Stegostoma tigrinum: one gene and its partners. The protein of the gene in region 1 interacts with the protein of each later gene in a pairwise test. Links are inferred from orthologs where the notes say so. Each region holds a gene or a part of one and is shown on either strand. Other genes may lie near its edges.

Region 1 (7,420 bases):
AACTGCTCCATCACCTTAGGCAGTGCTCAGGATCATGGATGATTTGCATCCACTATGGTTTGATGGGATATAGTGTCACAGGGCCATAGAGTCCTACAGCATGGAGAAAGGCCCTTCAGCCCAAACTGGTCCATGCCGACCAAAATATCCATCCACGCTAACCCCATTTCCATGCACTTGACCCATATCTTTCTCATCCTTTCCTTTCAATGTATTCATCCAAATGCCTTTTAAATGTTGTTAATGTACCTGCCTCAACCACTTCCACTGGCAGCTCATTCCATATGTGTACCACCCTCTGTGTAAAAAAGTTGCCCCTCAGGTTCCAAAGTATTCTTTCCCCTCTTACCTTCAACTGATGCCCTGTAATCCTCGATTCCCCAACCCTGGAAAAAAGACTGAGTGCATTCACCCTAAACCATGACTCTCGTGATCTTATACACTTTTATAAGATCACCCTTCAGACTCCTACGCTCTAAAGAAACAAATCCTAGCCTGTCCAACCTCTCCCAATAACTCAGTCCCTTGACTCCTGGTAACATCCTTGTAAATTTCTTCCGTACTCTTTCCAGTTTAATAACATCCTTCCTATAGCAAGGTGACCAAAACTGAACACCATACTCCAAGTGCAACTGCACCAAGATCCAGAGCAACTACATCATAACTTCCCAACTTTTGAAAGGGTTGATAAGTCCATTGCTTGTTCTGCAGACTCTGTCACAGATAGGAAAGGTGAGACAAATGGGCTATTTACTTTCACTCTCTGATGTCTTGACTTGACCTCTGTACATCCCCAGTGAAGTCTCAATGTGGTTTATGTCTTCCCAAATGTTCCCTCTCAGGCTGAGTGCAAACCAGGGTTTCCTAAGAGTCAACCAGGATGTTTTATCTTTTCAGGACATTGCAACAAACATTTCTGCTTTCCCCCAGGAGAGACACACCTGATGCAAACCATATTGAGCAGAGCAGTTATGTGGGATTGAAGTACTGTGGACTTTGGGAATCAGAAATAAAAACAGAAAGTGGCAGAGAAACACAGCAGGCCTGGCAGCATCTCTGAAGAGAGAAACATTTCAAATCCAGTGATTCTTCCTCAGAATTGAAGAGGGCTGGAAAATAATGCTTTTTATGCTGTTGACAAAGGTGGACGGGGGGTGAGGGGAACAGATCATGAGAATGCCTGGAGCAAAAGGCAAAGTGAATTCTAATGGCCACAAAGGAGAGATCTGGATTCAAAATAGATGTGAATAGTAGGAAATAGCTCAGCTGTACTGAGAGCAAACCCATGCCCCCCTCCCCATGCATTGGTAGAATTGTGACAGTGGAACTGTCCCCTCTTCTTTCTTACCGTTCGGGGTCCCAAGCACATCTTACAGGTGAGGCAGCAGTTTTCTTGTACTTTTTCTTTCAATCCAGCCTTCTGTACTCATTGCTCACCATGCAGTTTCCTTCACATTGTGAATCCAAATGCAGACTGTGTAACCACTTCGCATTTCTCCCTAAGTCTCCAACAGCACTACATATAAACATTCCACCATTGATCATTTTATGATTCTATCAGGGAAAAGGCAGAGGAATGGCAATAGGTGACTTGTTTTTGTTGTGATCTATCTTAGACATGATCGATTGAAAGGCCTCCTTCGGAAGTTCCACAAATCCGTGATTCTAAATCCTTTGTCGAGTATGCTAAGTCAAAGCAACAAGACAGACACAAGAACAAAGCAAAAACTCCATCACTCTGACAAGTGACTCACTTCCCACTCATTCAGTGCACTCTATAACTTACAAGGCTCAAGTTGGGATTAGATTGACATAGTGAACGGGATATCTGAAACATTAAACCATCCTGGACGGAATGTGATCCACTTGATCGGGAGATCTGCCACTGGATGAATCTCCCGGCAGGTTACGGTAACAGCAGCCACTTTCTAGCCGCATTTCGAATGTCATGTCCCAGTCTACAGTCTCGGCCACACTGAGAAGGATAAGAGTACCAGGATTGGAGGGACAGCGTCACCTGCAAGTTCTCCTCAATATCAAGATCATCCTGACCTGAATTTAAGCGCCACTTCTGGAACACTACGAGGTTCAAACCCTGCAGTTTCACATCAAATACCGACATTGGAGCTTTAGCAAGGCAAGGATTAAAAAGTTAAATAGAAATGCTTGTCATCACCTTCCCAAGCAACTAGGAAAGGCCAACTAAAAAAATGAGGTTTTGTCAATTTTCCTCCATTTTAATAACAACCACTTCAAAAACAGCCCTGATTGGTTTCTATGAAATAAATGACAGTTCCCACTTTGAATGCTGGCAAATAGGGTTTGGTCAGATTGGGATATCTGGCCAAAGTGGACAAGTCAGACCAAAGGATCTGTTTCTGTGCTGTTTGACTCTGGGTTCTGAACCTTTCTCCCTAAAGAAATACCTTTGGCCTGAAAACCCCCAAATGGAAAGAACTGAGCCAAGTAACTCCCTGTAGCAACGTAAAATGATCCCATATGATTGTCCCACCAGCTCATGGTGAAGCTAGATCATTGTCAACTGGAAGACTGTAGTATCCAGTGGAATTAAAGACAACAGTTTTCGGGCATTCCTTGCAGAATTCAGTCAATGAAGACAAGGAACTCAATCAATTAAACAGTCAATAGGAAATGAAATGTCGAAGAAGCGCTGCTGTATTAAAATCAAATGTAAATAAAAACTCTTATCCAACACCTGAACTTGATTCTATAACTTGCATTCTGGAGCAATGTAAGGTGACTTTGTAGGAAGACAAGTAGACAGACGTACTTACTTGTCAAACACAACCGCAGCATACGCTGGCTCAGCAAAGACCACATCCCCACTCAGAAGATCTTGCTTGGCCTTCAGCCCCCTGCCCTTGCCATCTGCATCGAAGATTTCTACTTTATCCATGTCACCGACCGTCATTGAGAGAATGAGCAAGAGCCCAGCACTACGAGCTTTAACCTTGGCCACTAATCTTCAGCTAATCTTGACACGTTCAGGCAGTCAAAAGTGAGCTCTATAAATGGTCTGACTCATCCAGCCTGTACCAAGTCAAAAAATGGTGAGGAGAGTTGAGGGGGGGGGGGGAGCGTCGGCTTTGTGGATGAAAATAGCAAGAACACCCACCTGGTGAAACACGATGCCTAGGTTAATTCAGACAAACTATTGTACATTCCTTTAACTCCTGACGATGATTCAGAATAGTTAGTCATAGCTCATTTCAAAGAAAAAGGAAAATTTTTGGTCAGGTATTACAACAATCCTGCAACATTACATGTGTAATGTCTCTATCCCCTTGAGAAATGAGCTGGGTGCAGCCAGTGGATTTATTTTTGGAAAACAGATGCCATTGTCCGTCAAAGTGTGACAGCTGAAGAGGAGTTGCCATTACTTGTGAGACTCGCTAAAAGATATCAGCGTGTTATCAGTCTCTTGAATTTCTGCACACTGAACAGTAGACTCTGGCACTGGCCTAAAGCATTAGTGAATGCAAAGGCACGAGAATGTTTCATGGAAGGCTCCAGAAACCTGACAAAGGTTAAGCGATTGAAAGGGGCATGTTAGAAGGGTAGTGCTGGTTACCCAATCCAACAATAAATTAAGCTTATCTGAACACTAAGCTAAATGAAATAAATATGGGCTGAATCTTACCTTTTCTTCAGGCAAAGTGTCATTTTTGTTGACTTGCACAGAGAGTTTCACTTTGCAAAGCCTAAAGAGTATTCTCATGTTACAGTTTCCAAACTCACCCCATTGACGATTTACCACATTCCAATAGTTTCCCTCTTGTCTGATACTGACCTCGTTCTCCCACTCGCTGTAACTGAAAGTGCTTATCACTGACCTTGTATTGGTACCACTTTTAAAAGGTCATTGTTCACCTGGTCAAGCATTTGGTGACATTCAGCCTGGCATGGGAGAGAAGGGAATTTGGTGCCTGCTTTGTGGGCAGGGGCTTGGAGCTCCACCGGAGAGAGTGATGCAAGGTTAGGACTACCCCTTCGCCAAGATTGACAGAGTAGGGCACATCACTAAAGTCTGCCAGCCTAAGGCACATATTTACCACCCAGGTCAATGCAATTGCAGGCATCTGGCTGGAAGGAAGACAGCACCGCTAGAAGAAGGTCAATGACCTCCCCACTCTGCCAGGAAGACTACCACCACCTTCACTCTGCTACCTTACTCTCACTCTATCTCTGCCACTATACCCTCTTCCTACCATACCAGTCTCAGTATTGTGTGAAGCATCTTTCCTCACTCATTCTCACCCACCCAATTCCCTCACACCATGGCCTCTGGGTTGCCTATTCACTCACTCAGGCCACTTTTTTTTCTTTATTCATTCATGGGATGACGGCAACACTGGCCAGTTAGCATTTATTGTCCATCCTTAATTGCCCAGAGGGCTGTTAAGAGTCAACTACATTGCTGTGGGTCTGGAGTTACATGTAGGCCAGACCAGGTAAGGATGGCAGTCTCCTTCCCTCAGGGACATTACTGAATGGGTTTTTCTGAAAGAAATATGATGAAATACACAAAGTGAGTTTAATGAATCTAAATTACATAGAACATACAACAGTACTGGCCCTTCAGCCCACGATGTTGTACCGACCTATTATTCTACTCTGAGAGCAAAACTGCCCTGCATCAGGGTTTTTCTGACAATCGACAATGGATTCACGATCATCATTAGACTCTTAATTCCAGATATTTATTGAATTCAATCTCCACCTGCCACGGCGGGATTCAAACCTGGCTCCCCAAGACATTATCTGGTTCCTTGGATTAACAGTCCAGTGATAGTACCACTAACCCATCATTTCTAGCATCAGCTTCTGACCACCTGCTCCAAAACTACCAGTTCTGCCTCCTACCTTAATCTCATTCAAACCCTCCCTTTCTCTCATTCCAGGAGAAAATAGTCCATGATGTGGGGAGAATGAACCAGATGGGTGCTGTGCTGCTTGACATTCAGCCCCTCAGCTACAAAGAGGTGAATGGCCATCCCAGTTGGCCAAATGACCATGTCCAAGCTCCTGAGGTGACATCAAGGGCTGTTCTTGACCAGCTGTAACAGCACCCCATGGCTGAAGAGGTTCTTACCTTGATAACAAAGTGTGGGGCTGGATGAACACAACAGGCCAAGCAGCATCTTAGGAGCACAAATGCTGATGTTTCGGGCTAGCCTCTGGAGCCTTCGAGTAAAGTCTATTTTCTTGCTGCGCGTGTGGTGTATTTTCTATGTACAGTGCTGACATATGATGCAGGTGTGAGATTGACTCAGTATAGTGCCACACAGTAACATGCCCAACCCCTGGTCTGACGAACTGCTGACCACCATAACAGAATGTCGGGCTTTGTGTCTGCACAAGAAGGCAAGTCAAGGTAGAAATATGATCTATCCCTTCATTCTGCCTGAAGGAGCATAGGGAAAAGAGGCATGGTAAACCTGAGGATGTTGTAAACATCTAAGCAAAGTGAGTGAATGCTGAGACAGCATGTGAGGATCCCCAAGATGCAAAACGTTCCAACCCCTTATCGATGCCTATTCCCCCACACCAAGTCTATCATGCGCAGCACTGCAATGATTGATGCATTCCAGAATGGAGCTTACTGCGAATGGGTCGGAGGTGTGGCATGAGATTGCAGAAAGACTGATATGGTCTTGGCTGCCAATGTCCGTGGGCATAGAATGTGTGCGGCCACTGTCCATGGAGACCGCAGTGAGACTTTGGTGCTTGGTTTCTGGAGGCTGAAGCAGTGGGCTGGGATTGCCAGGCACCCACTTAGAAACTTTTTCTAGAAACTTTTTCTTTGTTGAGTATTTCTGCAACTGGTTTCCATTTGGAGGGTGGTAGACAGAAGTCTGCAGATAAACAAGGTGTACTTACACATAAGTGAGGTTGAGGCTGAGCAATCATTCCTATTAATAGGCCTCTCACCTCTCACTGGCGGGAATGTTCTTTCCACATCTGGAACTCAGTTGGAAAATTTGAATTGTTGATTCCGAATGAAAGCCCCCATTCAACATCTCACTCAGTCCTTCCAAATTAGTCATCATCATTCATGGCATGGGAAGATCCCACCCAATTTTATAGTTGGAAGAAGGTTGATTCATGAAAGAGGCAAAGAGAGAATAGTCAAAACTTAATGCAAAGAAATATGATGAAATACACAAAGTGAGTTTAATGAATCTAAATTACATAGAATATACAACAGTACTGGCCCTTCAGCCCACGATGTTGTACCGACCTATTATTCTATTCTGAGAGCGAAACTACCCTGCATATCCTACATTTTACTAACATCCAGACATAATGGGAACTGCAGATGCTGGAGAATCTGAGACAACAAAGTGTGAAGCTGGATGAACACAGCAGGCCAAGCAGCATCTCAGGAGCACAAAAGCTGACCTTTCGAGCCTAGACCCCTCTCTGATGAAGGGTCTAGGCCCGAAACGTCAACTTTCGTGCTCCTAAGGTGCTACTTGGCCTGCTGTGTTCATCCAGCTTCACACTTTGTTGTCTCTTTTACTATCATCCATGTGCATATCCAAGAGTTGCTTTAATGACCCTAATGTATCTCACTCTACTACGACTACCGGCAGTGCATTCCACACTCCCACCACTCTCTGTGTAAAGAACCTACCTCTCATATCTCCCCTACGCCTTCCTCCAATCTCCTTAAAATAATGCCCCCTCATAATAGTCATTTCCATTCTCGGGAAATGTCTCTGGCTATCCACTTTATCTATGCCTCTCATCATCTTGTACAATTCACCTCTCATCCTTCTTCGCTCCAATGTAAAATGCCCTAGCTCCCTTAACCTTTCCTCATAAGGCTGCCCTCCAATCCAGGCAGCATCTTGGTAAATCTCCTCTGCACCCTCTCTAAAGCTTCCACATCTTTCCAATATTGAGGTGATCAGAACTGAACACAATATTCCAAGTGTGGTCTAACCAGGGTTTTATAGACCTGCAGCATAACCTCGCGGCTCTTAAACTCATTTCCCCTGTCGATGAAAGCCAACACACCATATGCTTTCTTTACAACACTATCAACATGGGTAGCAACTTTGAGGGATCTATGGATGTGGGCCCCGAGGTTCCTCTGTTCCTCCGCACTGCCGAGAATCCTGCCATTAACCCTGTATTCTGCATTCAAATTTGACCTTCCAAAACGAATCACTTCACACTTTTCTGAGTTGAAATCCATCTGTCACTTCTATGCCCAGCTCTGAATCCTATCAAAGTCCCTTTGCAACCTGCAACAACTCTCCACGCTGACCACAACTCCACCAACCTTCATGTCACGGAAAATTTACTAACCCACCCTTCTACTTCCTCATCCAAGTCATTTATAAAGATCACAAAAAGCAGACGTCACAGAACAGATCCCTGCAGAACATCA
Region 2 (7,496 bases), on another chromosome or scaffold:
TTCAGCTGCTTTATCAATGACTTTCTCTCCATTATCGGGTCTGAAGTGAGGACGTTTGCCGATGATCGCACAATGTTCAGCACCATTTATGACTCCTCAAATACTGATGCAATCAGTGTTCAAATGCAACAAGATCTGGACAATACCCAGGCTTGGGCTGACAAGTGGCAAGTGACATTCACACCACACAAATGCCAGGCAGTGACCATCTGCAATAAGAGATAATCTAACCACCGCCCTTGACATTCAATGGTGTTACCATCATTGAATTCCCCACGATCAACTTTCTGGGAGTTATCATTGATTAGAAGCTCAACTAAGCTCACCACACAGAAGCACTGGCTACAAAAGCAGGTCTGAAGCAAGGAAAACGGTGGCATGTAGCTCACCTCCTGACTCCCCAAAGCCTGTCCATCTACAAGACAAGTTGGTAGCAGATGGAATATTCTCCACTTGCCTGAATGAGGGCAGTCCCAACAACACTCAAGAAGCTTGAAATCATCCAGGGCAGCACAGTAGTTAGCACTGCTGCCTCATGTCGCCAGGGAACCAGGTTCAATTCCATACTCGGGCGATTGTCTGTGTGGAGTTTGTATGTTCTCCTCGAGTCTGCGTGGATTTCCTCTGGGTGCTCTGGTTTCCTCTCACAGTCCAAAGATGTGCAAATTAGGTGGATTGGCCATGATAAATGTGCATAGTGTTCTGGGATGTGTAAGCTAGGTACAGTAGCCACAGGAAGTGCAGGGTTACAGGGATAGGGTGGTGGGGTAGGTCTGCGTGGGATGGTGTTTGGAGGGTAGATGTGGACTTGTTGGGCTAAACAGCCTGTTTCTACACTGTGGGATTCTATGATAAAGCAGCCTGCTTGATTGCCATGGTATCCATAAGTATCTGCTCCATCCACCACTAACGCTCAGTAGCAACTGTGTGTACTATCTACAAGATGCACTGCAGAAAATTCACCAAAGCTTCTCAGACAGCACCTGCCAAACTACGATCAATTCCATCCAGAAGGACAAGGGCAGCAGATACATGGGAACACCAGCACCTTCAAAGTCCCCTCCAAGCCACTCACCATACTAACTTGCAAATTTATCACTGTTTCTCCACTATTGCTCAGTCAAAATCCTGGAATTCTATCCCTAGTTGCTTTGGATTAAGTGTACTACGTCAGCATACAAAAACTCAAAAATGCAGTCAATGTACTCTCTAAAAATGATGCGATAATGCTCAGTACCATTGATAAACTTGCGATTCCATGATCAGTGGAGTTCAGTAGCAGCCCTGCAAATTACATCTCAATTTGAATTTGTAAATTTGGGTCACATTTGAGGGCTCTTGTGGTGCATTGGTAGCCTCCCTGTCTTTGAGCCAGGAGACCCAGGTTCACGTCCCACCTGTTCTAGAGGTGTGTAATAACATCTCTGAACAGGCTGATAAGAAATAATTTTTAAGTTTCCTTTTTCAGATTTTAATTTTGTTACAATGCCCTTAAAGGGTTGTCCCTTCTTTAGTTATTCATTTGTTTCATTGTTTCCAAAAGCATATACAGCATCATTTCTCCTTTATTTTCAATGCATTTTAGAGCTGATATCTACAATATTCCTTGGTGTGTTTTTTTTTCCTGTTTCAATTTGCATTGTTTGTTTCCAATTTATGCAATTCTGTGCTTACAAATGTACAAAAAAATCTACATGGATAAGCAGATAAAACCCATCATTTCAAAAAAATTTTGTACAGCATAAGGTCCTAAAAATTCAAAGAAAAACCTCTGCTCTATAAAAAGTAATGACCGGGAAACATGAATGAAAATGATCCAATCTCAAAAATTTCGATGACAATGACATTTTGTGCTTTGCATTTGTAACCAAAGAGGCTGATGAACTTCTCAGTAGAATTAGTTCCCCAGTTTCTACCACCAGTTAAAATCTCGTGTTGAGTTTGGAACTCAATGCTACCAAGCATTGTGTGTCATGTTCAAATTAATTGACTGCCAACTGCTATTGGATAACTGCATATTGTATATGTTCAAATCTTCAAATTTACCATATTACTCTGTAAATTATTTAAATTCTGATTACTATTTGCAACTTGTTCATTTATAACTCAAGCATATTCAATTTACTTTGGCTTGGTGTATTTGTTCATTTTAATTCTATTCAGTTACTTTTTTACACGGTCACTTACATATGCTTCCAAAATTATTTGCAAGTAAAATACTGAAATATAGATGAGGTAGAGTTGGGTAATCAAATTCTTTCAATGATTGACGTGAAATGAATGTCTGCGTCTCTGAGAGGCAATAAAATTAGAAAAATGCAGCGCAAATGGCCGGGCAATGGGAAAACGAAGGGTACACCGTGGGAGAATGGGAAAAGTCAGTAGCGAGATGGGAAATATTCCATCGTAAATACAGGGGAACTGCTGTCGACGGGGGAAACGGATGGTAAAGTGGGCGAGAAGCGTGAATGTATTCACAGAAGAATGAAGTGAAGCAGATGAAAGTAGTCAATGGATGGATGAAGGGCTGCAGCAACCAACAAGAGATGCTTCTTTTTTAAAAAAAACTATGCTAGTGATCTCTGGAACAACAAGGAGATGTTGTTACCCCACCAGGACATGCAGATACCTCTTTTCATCTGAAAAGATCTGTAAGAGATCCCAGGAAGAGCAGAGAATGAAAATAAAATAAAAAGTCAAAGCATTAGGCAATGATCACCCGGGGAAACAACAAAGTCTGACAAGGGGAACAGTAGGAAGCAGAGAGTGAGGAAAAGGAGTGACAGAGAACAGGAGAATGACGATTAAAGAACAAGCTGAGAAACACCGGCTGATTGTGGTCCACAGCCGGATTTGCTGCTTTACTACTTGATTTCCAACGCTCTACTACTACAAAACCACACGTTATGTTATCAATGTTTAATTATTTTTACCTCGCCAGTCGAGAGTCACACACCGCCGATTCCCGGGAAACAACTTCCTCCAAGATGGCGCTCGGCCGCTAGGTTGAGGCCGGAACCAACAGACGGAGACAAGGAGGAAAGCGGCGGGGGAACGCATATAGTGTGAGGTTGGGTCACGTGGAGCCTCGGTCGGTCGGTGGGGGCGGGAAACGCTATGACGTCAGGAGAGGACCAGAGACAGTGAGCTGGTGTCCGTGAGAGTGACAGTTGTCCGGAGCGATGGTCAGTGTGAGACCCTGACAACGACCGCTGTCCGGAGAGGCGGTCGGTGTGAGACCCTGCGAGTGACCGCTGCCCAGAGAGAGGGTCAGTGTGATACCCTGAGAGTGACCGCTGTCAAGACAGAAGGTCAGTGTGATACCCTGAGAGTGACCTCTGTCCAGAGCAAGGGTCAGTGTGAGACCCTGAGAGTGACCGCTGTCTGGAGAGAGGGTCAGCGTGTGACCCTAAGAGTGTCTGCTGTCTAGCGAGAAGGACAGCATTTGTCCCTGAGAGTGACCGCTGTCCATAGGGATGGTCAGTGTGAGGCCCTGACAGTGACTGCTTTCCGGAGAGAGGGTCAGCGTGAGATAGTGAGAGTGACCACTGTCCGGAGAGAGGGTCAGCGTGAGTCCCTGTGAGTGACCACTGTCCGGAGAGAGGATTAGTGTGTGACCCTGACATTGACCACGCTGTGGAGAGAGGATCAGCGTGTGAACCTGAGAATGACCGCTGTCCGGAGAGAGGGTCTGTTGGTGTTACTGAGAGTGACCTCTGTCCAGAGAGAGTCAAAGTGTGTCCCTGAGAGTGACTGCTGTCCAGACAGACGGCCACCATGTGTCCCTGAGAGTGACCATTGTCCAGAGAGAGGGTCAGTGTGAGATATTGAGACTGACTGCTGTCCAGAGAGAGGGTCAGCGTGAGATATTGAGACTGACCGCTGTCCAGAGAGAGGGTCAGCATCAGATATTGAGACTGACTGCTGTCCAGAGGGTCAGCATGGGTCCTTGTGAGTGACTACTGTCCGGAGAGAGGATTAGTGTGTGACCCTGACATTGACCACGCTCTGGAGAAAGGATCAGCGAGTGACCGTGAGAATGACCGTGGTCCGGAGAATGGGTCTGTTGGTGTTACTGAGAGTGACCACTGTTCAGAGAGATGGTCAGTGTGAGATACTGAGAGTGACCGCTGTCCAGAGAGAGGGTCAGTGTGGGTCCCTGGGTGACTGTTGTCCAGACACAGGGTCAGTGTGAGATACTGAGGATGACCGCTGTCCGGAGAGAGGGTCAGCGTGAGTCCCTGTGAGTGACCACTGTCCGGAGAGAGGATTAGTGTGTGACCGTGACATTGACCACGCTGTGGAGAGAGGATCAACCTGTGAACCTGAGAATGACCGCTGTACGGAGAGAGGGCTCTGTTGGTGTTACTGAGAGTGACCTCTGTCCAGAGAGAGGGTCAAAGTATGTCCCTGAGAGTGACTTCTGTCCAGACAGATGGCCACCATGTGTCCCTGAGAGTGGCCGTTGACCAGAGAGAGGGTCAGCATGAGATATTGAGACTGACTGCTGTCCAGAGAGAGGGTCAGCATGGGTCCTTGTGAATGACTACTGTCCGGAGAGAGGATTAGTGTGTGACCCTGACGTTGACCACGCTTTGGAGAGAGGATCAGCGTGTGACCATAAGAATGACCGCTGTCTGGAGAGAGGGTCAGTGTGAGACCCTGAGAATGACCGCTGTCCGGAGAGGGGGTCAGTGTGAGACACTGAGTGACCGCTGTCCAGAGCAAGGGTCAGTGGGAGACACAGTGACTGCTGTCCAGAGAGAATCAGCCTATGTCCCTGACAGTGACCGCTGCCCGGAGAGAGGGTCGGTGCGAATCCCTGAGAGTGACCGCTGTCCGGAACGAGGATCAGTGTGAGACCCAGCACGTGACCGCAGTCTGGAGAGAGAATCAGCCTGTGTCCGTGAGAGTGACCGCTGTCCGGAGCAAGCATCAGGGAGTGTCCCTGAGAGTGAATGCTGTCCGGAGAGAGGGTCAGCATATGTCCCTGAGAGGGACCACTGGCTGGAGACTCACAGGGACACACGTTGACCCTCTCGCCTGACAGCGGTCAGGAGGGTCAGTGTGAGACACAGTGACCACAGTCCAGTGAGAGGGTCAGCGGGTGACCCTCAGAGTGACCTCTGTCCGGAGAGAGGGTCAGTGTGAAACCCTGCGAGTGACCTCTGTCCGGAGAGAGGGTCAGTGTGAGACCCTGCGAGTGACCTCTGTCCGGAGAGAGGGTCAATGTGAGACCCTGAGTGTGACCGCTGTAAAGACAGGAGGTCAGTGTCATACCCTGAGTGTGACCGCTGTCCAGAGAGAGGGTCAGTATGATAGCCTGAGAGTGACTGCTGTCAAAACAGAAGGTCAGTGTGAGACACTGAGAATGACTGCCGTCCAGAGAGAGGACCAGCCTATGTTGCTGAGAGTGACTGCTATCCGGAGAGAGGGTCAGTGTGAGACCATGAGAGTGACCGCTGTCCAGAGCAAGGGTCAGTCTGAGACACAGAGTGACTGCTGTCCGGAGAGAGGATCAGCCTATGTCTCTGAGAGTGACCGCTGCCCAGAGAGAGGGTCAGTGTGAGACCCTGAGAGTGATCGCTGTCTGGAGAGAGAATCTGCCTCTGTCCGTGAGTGACCACTGTCCGGAAAGATGGTTATCATGAGATATTGAGAGTGACCACTATCTGGAGCGAGGATCAGGGAGTGTCCCTGAGAGTGACTGCTGTCCGGAGAGAGGATCAGCATGTGTCCCTGAGAGTGACCACTGTCTGGAGACTCTCAGGGACACACGGTGACCCTCTCTTCCGACAGCGGTCAGAGGGTCAGTATGAGACACAGAGTGACCACGGTCCAGTGAGAGGGTCAGCGGGTGACCCTCAGAGTGACCGCATTCCTAGGATAGGGTCAGTGTGTGTCCCTGAGTGTCACCAGACAGCGGTCACTCTCAGAGACAAACGCTGTCCCTGTCACTGCAAAGTTGCCAGAGGGTCAGTGTGAGACCCTGACAGTGACCGCTGTCCGGCGACAGGGTCAGTGTGAGACCCTGACAGTGACCGCTGTCTGGAGAGAAGATCAGCATGTGACCCTGACAGTAAGCGCTGTCTCGCGAGAAGGACAGCATTTGTCCCTGAGAGTGACTGGTGTCCGTAGGAAGGGTCACTGTGAGACCCTGACAGTGACTGCTTTCCGGAGAGACGGACAGCGTGAGATAGTGAGGGTGAACGCTGTCCGGAGACAGGGTCAGTGTGAGACACAGTGACTGCTGTCCAGAGAATGGATCAGCGTTTGTCCCTGAGAGTGACTGCTGTCCAGAGAGAGGGTCAAAGTGTGTCCCTGAGAGTGACCGCTGTCCAAGAGAGGGTCACTGTGGTACCTGACTGACCATTGTCCAGACAGAGGATCAGCGTGAGATACTGAGAATGACTGCTGTCCAGAGAGAGGGTCAGCATGAGTCCCTGTGAGTGACCACTGTCCAGAGAGAGGATTAGTGTGGGGCCTGACATTGACCACACTGCGGAGAGAGGATCAGTGTGTGAATGTGGGAATGACCACTGTCCGGAGAGAGGGTCTGTTGGTGTTACTGAGGGTGACCACTGTCCAGAGAGAGGGTCAGCATGTGTCCCTGAATGTCTCTGGACAGTGGTCACTCTCAGGGACAAACACTGTCCCTGTCTCCGGAAAGTGGCCAGAGAGTCAGTGCGAGAGACAGATAGCGACTGCTGTCCAGAGCGAGGGTCAGTGAGAGACACAGAGTGACTGCTGTCCGGAGAGTGGATCAGCGTGTGTCCCTGAGAGTGACCGCTGTCTGCAGCGATGGTCAGTGTGAGACCCTGACAGTGACCACTGTCTGGAGAGAGGGTTAGTGTGAGACCCTGAGAGTGACCTCTGCCCAGAGAGAGGGTCATTGTGAGACCCTGAGAGTGACCGCTGTCCGGAGAGAGGGTCAGTGTGAGACCCTGAGAGTGACCGCTATCCACAGAGAGGGTCAGTGTGAGATCCTGAGAGAGACTGCTGTCCAGAGGGAGGGTCAGCCTGTGTTACAGAGTGACCGGTGTCCAGACGGAGGTTTAGTGCGAGTCCCTGAGAGTGACCGCTGTCCAGAGAGAGGGCCAGTGTGAGACCATGAGAGTGACTGCTGTCCAGAGAGAGGATCAGTCTCTGTCCCTGAGAGTGATGCTGTCTGGAGAGAGGGTCAGTGTGAGAACCTGACAGTGACGCTGTCCAGAGAGATGGTTAGCATGAAATATTGAGAGTGACCGCTGTCCGGAGCGAGGATCAGCGTGTGTCCCTGAGAGTGACCACTATCCGGAGACTCAGGGACTCACGGTGACCCTGTCTCCCGACAGTGGTCAGAGGGTCAGTGTGGCACATTTTGAGTGACCACTGTCCAGTGAGAGGGTCAGCGGGTGACCCTCAGTGACCGCTGTCCCAAGGTAGGGTCGGTGTGTGTCCCTGAGAGTGACCACTGTCCGGAGAGAGGGTCAGCATGTGTCTCCAGACAGCGGTCA
Region 3 (7,512 bases), on another chromosome or scaffold:
ATGCATTATCCGAGTTATTGCTATCAGACCAGTCAATTTTGTACTTCTACCAACCAATGCCACTCGTGCATAGTCATTCTTAAAGCACCTAACTGAGCACAGCTAAACTCAAAGTTTACAGGACAGAAATAGACCACCTGCCCCATTATATCTTCTGGAAAACAAGTAACGTACCTTAATCACAAAGTGCAGTTGTCCCTAGAATGACAATTTAAATTTAACCCAGATATAAAGATTGATCTACACAGAAAGCTAACAGCCCAAATTATGCTTATTGCAAGTCAACAGTTCTACTTTGTCACCTAGTACTATTCATTTTCACTATGATTAGTAATCAAAGTTTAGCTCAGAATTTCATGATGAACTATTTATGCTCCTTAACCCTGAGAGTAAACAGCTTGCGCCATTATATATTTCTCTAATCTTAACCTTTTAAAAAATGCAATAAACCTTCACATTCATCAGCAGTGGTTGTTACTTGAACCAGCTACTAAACAGAATATGGAACAAAACAAAGATTCATGTATACTGAAATAATATGGCAGATGAATTCATCATGAAAGCAGTAAGCAATTGCACATTATCAATAAATATTGGAAATAGAAGGAAACCACACTTACGAGCTAAAATAATGATTTACTTGGAAAAGCTTGACACACCTGGTAGCATCTATGGCAATAAAGCAGTTAACATACAGTCTGGTGACTTTGATGAGTTTTTCCAGCAAGTTCTGTTTTTGTTTGAGATTGCCAGCATCCACATTTCTTTGTTTTATTTCATAACAATTTAGAGTTGGAGATGTACAGTATGGAAACAGACTCTTTGGTCCAACTTGTCTATGCCATCCAGATATTCTAAATTAATCTAGTCCCATTTCCCAGCATTTAGCCAATATCCCTCTAAACCCTTCCTATTCATATATTCATCCAGATGTCCTTTAAATGTTGTAACCGTACGAGCCTTCACCATTTCCTCTGGTAGTTCATTTCATACATGTACCACCCTCTGCGTGAAAAGTTGCCCCATGGGGCCCTTGTAAATATGTTTCCCTCATCTTAAAACTATCCTGGGGAAAAGACACTGACTAGTCACCTTATCCATTCCCCTAATGATTTTATGAAATTCTATAAGATACCCCTCACCCTCCGACGCTCCAGGGAAAATACCCTTGCCTATTCAGCCCGTCCTTATGGCTCAAACCCTCCAACCTTGGCAACATCCTTCTAAATTGTTTCTGAACCCTTTCAAGTTTAACATCTTTCCTACTGCAGGGAGACAAGAACTGAATGCAGTATTCCAAAGTTGCCTAACAAATGTCCTGTACAGCTGCAACATGACCTCCCAACTCCTATACTCAATGCATTGACTAATAAAGGCAAGAATACCAAATGTTTCCTTCACTACCCTATCTGAGACTCCACTTAAGGAACGTTTTCTTTGATTTACACACATTGGTGAAACAAATTTAAGAAGTCACAACAGCTTCATGTCTCAGAAATCCTGGTATAAAATCAGTAAGTTTGGCCTAGTTGAATTTTAATCAATCAATGTGTGTTAAATGTTAAATATATTTGAGCTGGACTGCTCAAACCTCTAAAATACAAGGACATAAATCAACCTTTTTATAGGGCAGTCAACTTGGACATTGTTTTGATATGGTTTGAAAAACCAAAAAATGCTCAGTTGCTGGTATCTTATTTAAGCAAACTTATGATTTTATGATGAATTATTTCTTATAATATTCTACAACTTTCAGGCTCCTGAATCAAACATTTAGTTTAGAATCCATGATCAGAGGCTTACCAAATGTCTTTTGTATGCCGAATTATAATCATATAATTACCCACAATAATATTATACAATTCTTCAGTGTGCACCATGATAGATCTATTCCATTAATCATCACACTATGAAGCACAAATCAATTATAATCCAACTCTAAAATTTGATCAATTTTATTGGACAGCACCAAAGCTTTGAACAATTGAGTGGTGACGGATCAAGGAGAAAGATGAGCCAGGGCAAGAGTGAATGATTTAACGCATTTGCAAGTTTGAACTTCATAACAAAGTCTTTAACTTGAGACTTCACTGAACACGGCACACTCATTTCACTATTGTTTAGTATTTCAGGCACGAGCGGGTGTTACGGTTTACTTCTTTGTTGAGTCAATAAGAAGAGTGGACGGCTAGAAATTTTTACAACCCTTACTGTATTTCGGGAGAATCGGGAGAAACAGACTGGTTCATTTGCAGAACTATGCTGAGGTGTGGGTGTCTGAATATGCTACCATTTTGCTTGTGGCGCTGAACATAGGAAAGTGAAACACACTTAGGAATTACCCCTCTTTTTGCTGGAAACAGAAACACATTGCAATGCATTAAAAGTGCATGAATCATGACTTCGGACAGAGGTTTGCATGAGTGCCTATGACGAAGACATGGGGCAGACCGAGGAGTGAATTGCGGCCCTTGGTCGGTGGGGCCGCGCTGGCAGTGATCGCATGCAGACCGAGGCGATATGTCAGCCCAATGGGGCCATTGTTTACGCAGGGCCGTGGTGCTGGGCTGGAGTGAGGGAGGCACCTACCTGTTGGTGCGACTCCTCAGCCCAGCCTTACTTAGGAGGCCCCAATAGTGGAGGGGGTTGGAGAATCACATGGAAGGTTTCCCCTCTCCCCTCCCCTTTACTTGCCCTGCACAGGGAGAGACTCAACCTTCCCGCGGCCTCCCAGGCGGCCGGAGAGCTCGGAGTCTAAAGCGGGGTCAGAGGCCTGAGGGGAGAGGATTGAAGATGACACCCCCTTCATTCGCACTCTCCCCACTCCCCAGATATATACCGTTAAATTACAAGCCCCCGCTGCTTACTGCGCGGCCAGTGTCGCAGCTCCGTCTGTCCGGTCTCGGCTTCGACACCTTCTCGTCACCGCACCCCCCTCCCTCCCAGAACAACCGCCGCCGTCCGCCCGCTCGAGCCGGGGGTTTGTTTTGTTCCCAACCTGCACCGCGCACGCCCCCCTCCCCTCAAAGAGCAACTGTCAATCAGAGGGGGCGTGGGGGCGGGGCCGCCCGACACTAGCTGTCGATCGGCGAAGCGAGGGGCGGGGTCACGCCACCAACTGTCAATCAGAGAGGGCCGCGGGGCCAGCGCGAAGCACAAATTTTCAGTGAAGGCCAAGGGGGCAGAGGCATCTTCTGTCACTCAAAGCTATCTGGGGCGGGGCTCAAGACCAACTGTCAATCAGAGGGCAATGGGGCAAAATTCAGCATCAACTGTCAATAACTATGGTCCAGGGGGCGGGGCTCAGCGCAAGCAGTCAGTGAGCGGGAGCAGGGCCAACACAGTCCAAATGACAATCAAAGAGGGACAGGGGCGGGGCTGAGTACGAACAGTTAACTCAGAGAGTGCCAGGAGGCGCAGCCAACATACATCAACTGTCAATCAGAGACGGAAAGAGGGCGGGAACACAGCACCAACTGCCAATTATAGATAGAGAGGGGTGGGCCAACCAGTCCAAAAAGACATTCAGAGGGTGAGGGGCGCGGCTAACCACCAAATATCAATCAAACCGGACCGGGGCGGAGCCACACTGTACCAACTGTCAATCAAGGTGTGATAGGGACGCGGCTCAGCACCAACTGTCAATCAGAGAGGACCCGGGATTTGTGCAGGTATTGGCACTTTTCTTACACTTACAATGCGCGGGAAATAATATTACGAGGGTCACCGGACCCGAAACGTTAACTCTGTTTTCTCCTCTACAGATGCTGCCAGACCTGCTGAGCTTTTCCAGCAACTTTGTTTTTGTTCCTAAAGAATATTACAAGCCGACTGCAGCCTAAAGGAGCAAAAAAGTCAGATGAAAGCTTAAATGTCACACATTGGATGCCACATCAATGTTACTTATGAATGATATTCAGTATCAGAACTCAAGGGGAGAAGGAGTCTATCGACCACACTGATTTAACTGGATCTTGAGACTTTGGGCAACTGAATGATGACATAAGACACGGGCCTTAGAAAACTTGCATTGAGAGCAAAGCTGTTGGCTGAGGAGAAACATATTCAAGAAAGCTATAAGCAAGTGAAGAAACTTTGAGGTTATCAATCATTAGTCAGTGCATATCAATGGGGAAATAGATCAGGTTTTGCAATATGTTGTGAGACAGACCAAATGAAAACAGCCAGTTGGGGAATAAAAGAAAAACAAATGGTAAGATTAAAGCCAGAGTAGAGGATATAAATAATAGCAAATGTTGTGGATGTTCTTGTACTCCATACTCCTAGAATACTGTATACTTTATTAACAGCTCTCCCTTCTTGTTGTGCCACCTCAAATTATTAATGCACATGTACAATCAGGTCGCTGCCCCAGGGCAAACTTTAAAATAACACCCTTTATTTTATCCTGGAAATTCATGTTCTTTTACCAAAATGCACCATCTCACACATCTTTACATCAAACTTCAACTTCGTCTGCCACTTACCTGTCCGCTCCACTATCTTTTCTATGTCCATCTGAAGTTCTGCATTGTTCTCCTCACATTTATAATGCTTCCAACTTTTGTGTCATCCACAAACATTGAAATTGTCTCCTGCATGCCAAAATATAAACCATTTATATTCTCTACGTTAGAAAACGTAAGAGACCCAATCCAAACTCTCAAGGACTCTGCTATAAAATCTACTCCAGCCTGAAAAATAATCATTGAAAATTACTATCTGTTTCCTATCGCTTAGCTAATGTTGTATCCACGTTGCTATTGACTCTTCTATAAGATATAACCTTTTACGCTTGTCTTCGGTGTGGCACTGAATCAAAAACCTTCTGGAAGTCCATTTATACCGCATCTACAGCATTACCCTCATGAACCCTCTCTGTCACCTCTTCAAAGTACTCTAACAAGTTAGGAGATGTGACATTTCCTTAACAAATTCTTCTGAACGAGCCAACAGTTTCCACATCTCGTCTAAAGACTAATGTCACACTGAATCCAAAGTTCTCTGCTAATGACAAAACGAAACTATTGAAGCTAAAAGTAAGGAGTGACAAAATCAGATGGAATGACAATAGGCCAAATGTCATTTTGATAAATCTGCCAAATCATTTCCAGAGCTGAGTATTGGAGAGTATGCAAAGTGCAACCATTCAACACGCTGAGCAAAAGTAACCCTGTGTAGCTACTTGGGACAACTGTAGAGCAGTTGAACATACACAATGAATGTGAATGACCAAATATATAATAGCAGCCACAGATCTTTATGTAAAATTAGAGAAGCTAAGACTTCACCAGAGGAAGCTGATCGGGAAGAAGTAACTTTAGCACTTGCATGGAGTACTGAATGACCATCAATCATGTAGGCCACTGTTCAATAGCCAGAGCAATGGATTGGCAACAACCGTTACCACAACAACAACATGCATGAGGGAAACATTGCCCTAGGATTGAGCCAGTACCTGAGGAACAGCCAATGACAACATTTATACATGCTGTGAGAAGACCATCACAAGTTAAGAACTATATTTGGAACGCATGTGCGGAGTTGACAAAAGTGACGAGTGCTAATGTCAGTCTGAAACTTGGATAAAGGCTCAAGATGGCTTCTTGGTGCAAGTTAGCACAACAAAAATGGCTTCTAGCTTGGGAACTGTAAATTCTGCGAGAGCTGCTCTGCTAGCCTGGGAACTGTAAACTCTGCTAGAGCTGCATAAATAATGCAGTGATGATAAGATAATGCAGTACTAACCATTCTAACTGACCTTCGGTTGCAAATGTTGTGGTGCTGTGTGGCGAGATAAAAAGTAACCTAAGCGTTGTGACATAAGTTGTTTACCAGTTAATATTATTGGATTAAGTAACTGTCAATGAAGCAATATCATGTATTGATTGGTACTCATTTGAATACACTATGCGATCACGCCATGTACCCTCCTTTAAGAAAAGTATAAAAATGTCTTTGCGTTACATTGTGTGTGCAGTTCCTCCGAGGAATACGGAAGTGCTCAACTTCTGTGTTTCCGGATGATCTGTACCCCGCCGTATGAAGAAATAAAGAGTAAAGTCTTAAACAGCCAGACCGATTGCGAGTGCTCATTGACCGATCGTGGAATCGACAGACCCCGCCAGGGGTCGAGATTTTCACTAACACACTGGCTTGTTAATGAAAATTATTTTCTTTGTGATCACATACATTTGGTAACTTACATAACTTGTAATACGAAGGATTGTAGGTGCATTTTCTTTTACGTAAAGAAGAATGTTTGGAGAAACACAGTTATACCCTTAGTGTACTGGCTTTCCTGTAAGAGTCGAGTGTCCGCTGCCTCTGCTATATGTGTCTTTTTGTGCAGTCTGTGGGAGCCATCAAACACACATCACTTGAAACACTTGTATGCTCCTAACTTTTTTTCATGTCTCCATCCCTGGGAAAGTGTCCTCTTATACCACAAGCTTCAGTCTTCCAGTCCTCTTACTGAAGAGTCATGCAATGAGTGAATATTACATTCTTACTTCCTTGCTCCATTAAAGAGTTCTGTTGCATCAAAAGGTTATGAAAGGAGACATTGACAATCTATGATCTTCAAAGCATAATATGGTAAAAAAAAAGAGCCGATTCAGCCTTGCACAAAGTAATGGTCAATGTCTATTATGAACAGGTTTACATGAACTTTCACAATATGCATTAGTACTTTGGAATGTAGCCCAGATCATAGGTTATGAGGTGTTACGTCTGCCACGTGAGTTAGATTAAGCAAAATGGTTTAAGTCTGCTTTCATTTGAATTTAATTAGCACAGTTGTTAGAATACAGACATAGGTCAGTAAAGAAGCAATACCCCAAAGGATGGTGCCTTCAAGCTTGGTATGGTAAGAAAGATGTAACCACCAACATGTGATCTATATTGTACTAAGCTGCTTTATCAAAGAATTACATCAAAGAGAGATTAGATTCACCCTAAAGGGAAAACAAAAGAACATATACTATTGTGTGGATCAACATTAGCTAGACTCTTGAACATATTTCATCCTAGCTTATGAAATGTTTATGGTGGAAATAGATTGCACTTTTTAAAACCAAAACTTGTTACACTACACTTTGTTAAAATGTACACATTTTTACTCATCTTGTTCAAAAATGCAAACAAACTCCAAATACATTCCTTGGAATTAAAGAGGGGAGAAAATCATCCCAAGACAATTCTTGTGCATTAATTTTAAAGAAAGGAAAAGTGAAAGTTTGGAAATAGGTCATCTGTCTGCCTTCCTGTCTCAAAATTGATCTGGAAAACGAAAAAGGATACGGAAGAAGAGGAAGAGAGCAAGTGAAATAATAATGTGTAGCATAATGGTCATTTTACTTTGGAAATAGTATTTTGCAATGTAAATAAAATGTAATTCTTAAGAGAATTTAAATGATAATAGATAGATAAGAGCATTGGGACAGCCAGACAGACAAAATACTCCAAATGGAAGCATTTATTGGGGGAAATCTTGAAGACGATCTAGCACAT

What was found.
Region 2: the proteins of histone-lysine N-methyltransferase Smyd1-like (region 1) and fam204a interact in binary tests that used the Homo sapiens proteins (3 or more experiments, as listed by UniProt). The link is inferred for Stegostoma tigrinum from reciprocal best matches to the Homo sapiens genes SMYD1 and FAM204A.
Region 3: the proteins of histone-lysine N-methyltransferase Smyd1-like (region 1) and zbtb44 interact in binary tests that used the Homo sapiens proteins (3 or more experiments, as listed by UniProt). The link is inferred for Stegostoma tigrinum from reciprocal best matches to the Homo sapiens genes SMYD1 and ZBTB44.

The regions. Positions count from the first base shown.
Region 1 is NC_081354.1:176,261,359-176,268,778, forward strand, and holds the start of histone-lysine N-methyltransferase Smyd1-like, read right to left. Parts: upstream 3,060-7,420; 5' UTR 2,933-3,059; coding exon 2,796-2,932; intron 1-2,795. UniProt on the Homo sapiens protein: Methylates histone H3 at 'Lys-4' (H3K4me), seems able to perform both mono-, di-, and trimethylation. Acts as a transcriptional repressor. Essential for cardiomyocyte differentiation and cardiac morphogenesis.
Region 2 is NC_081373.1:18,501,619-18,509,114, reverse strand, and holds the start of fam204a (protein FAM204A), read right to left. Parts: upstream 3,052-7,496; 5' UTR 2,934-3,051; intron 1-2,933.
Region 3 is NC_081385.1:17,220,750-17,228,261, reverse strand, and holds the start of zbtb44 (zinc finger and BTB domain-containing protein 44), read right to left. Parts: upstream 3,011-7,512; 5' UTR 2,840-3,010; intron 1-2,839. UniProt on the Homo sapiens protein: May be involved in transcriptional regulation.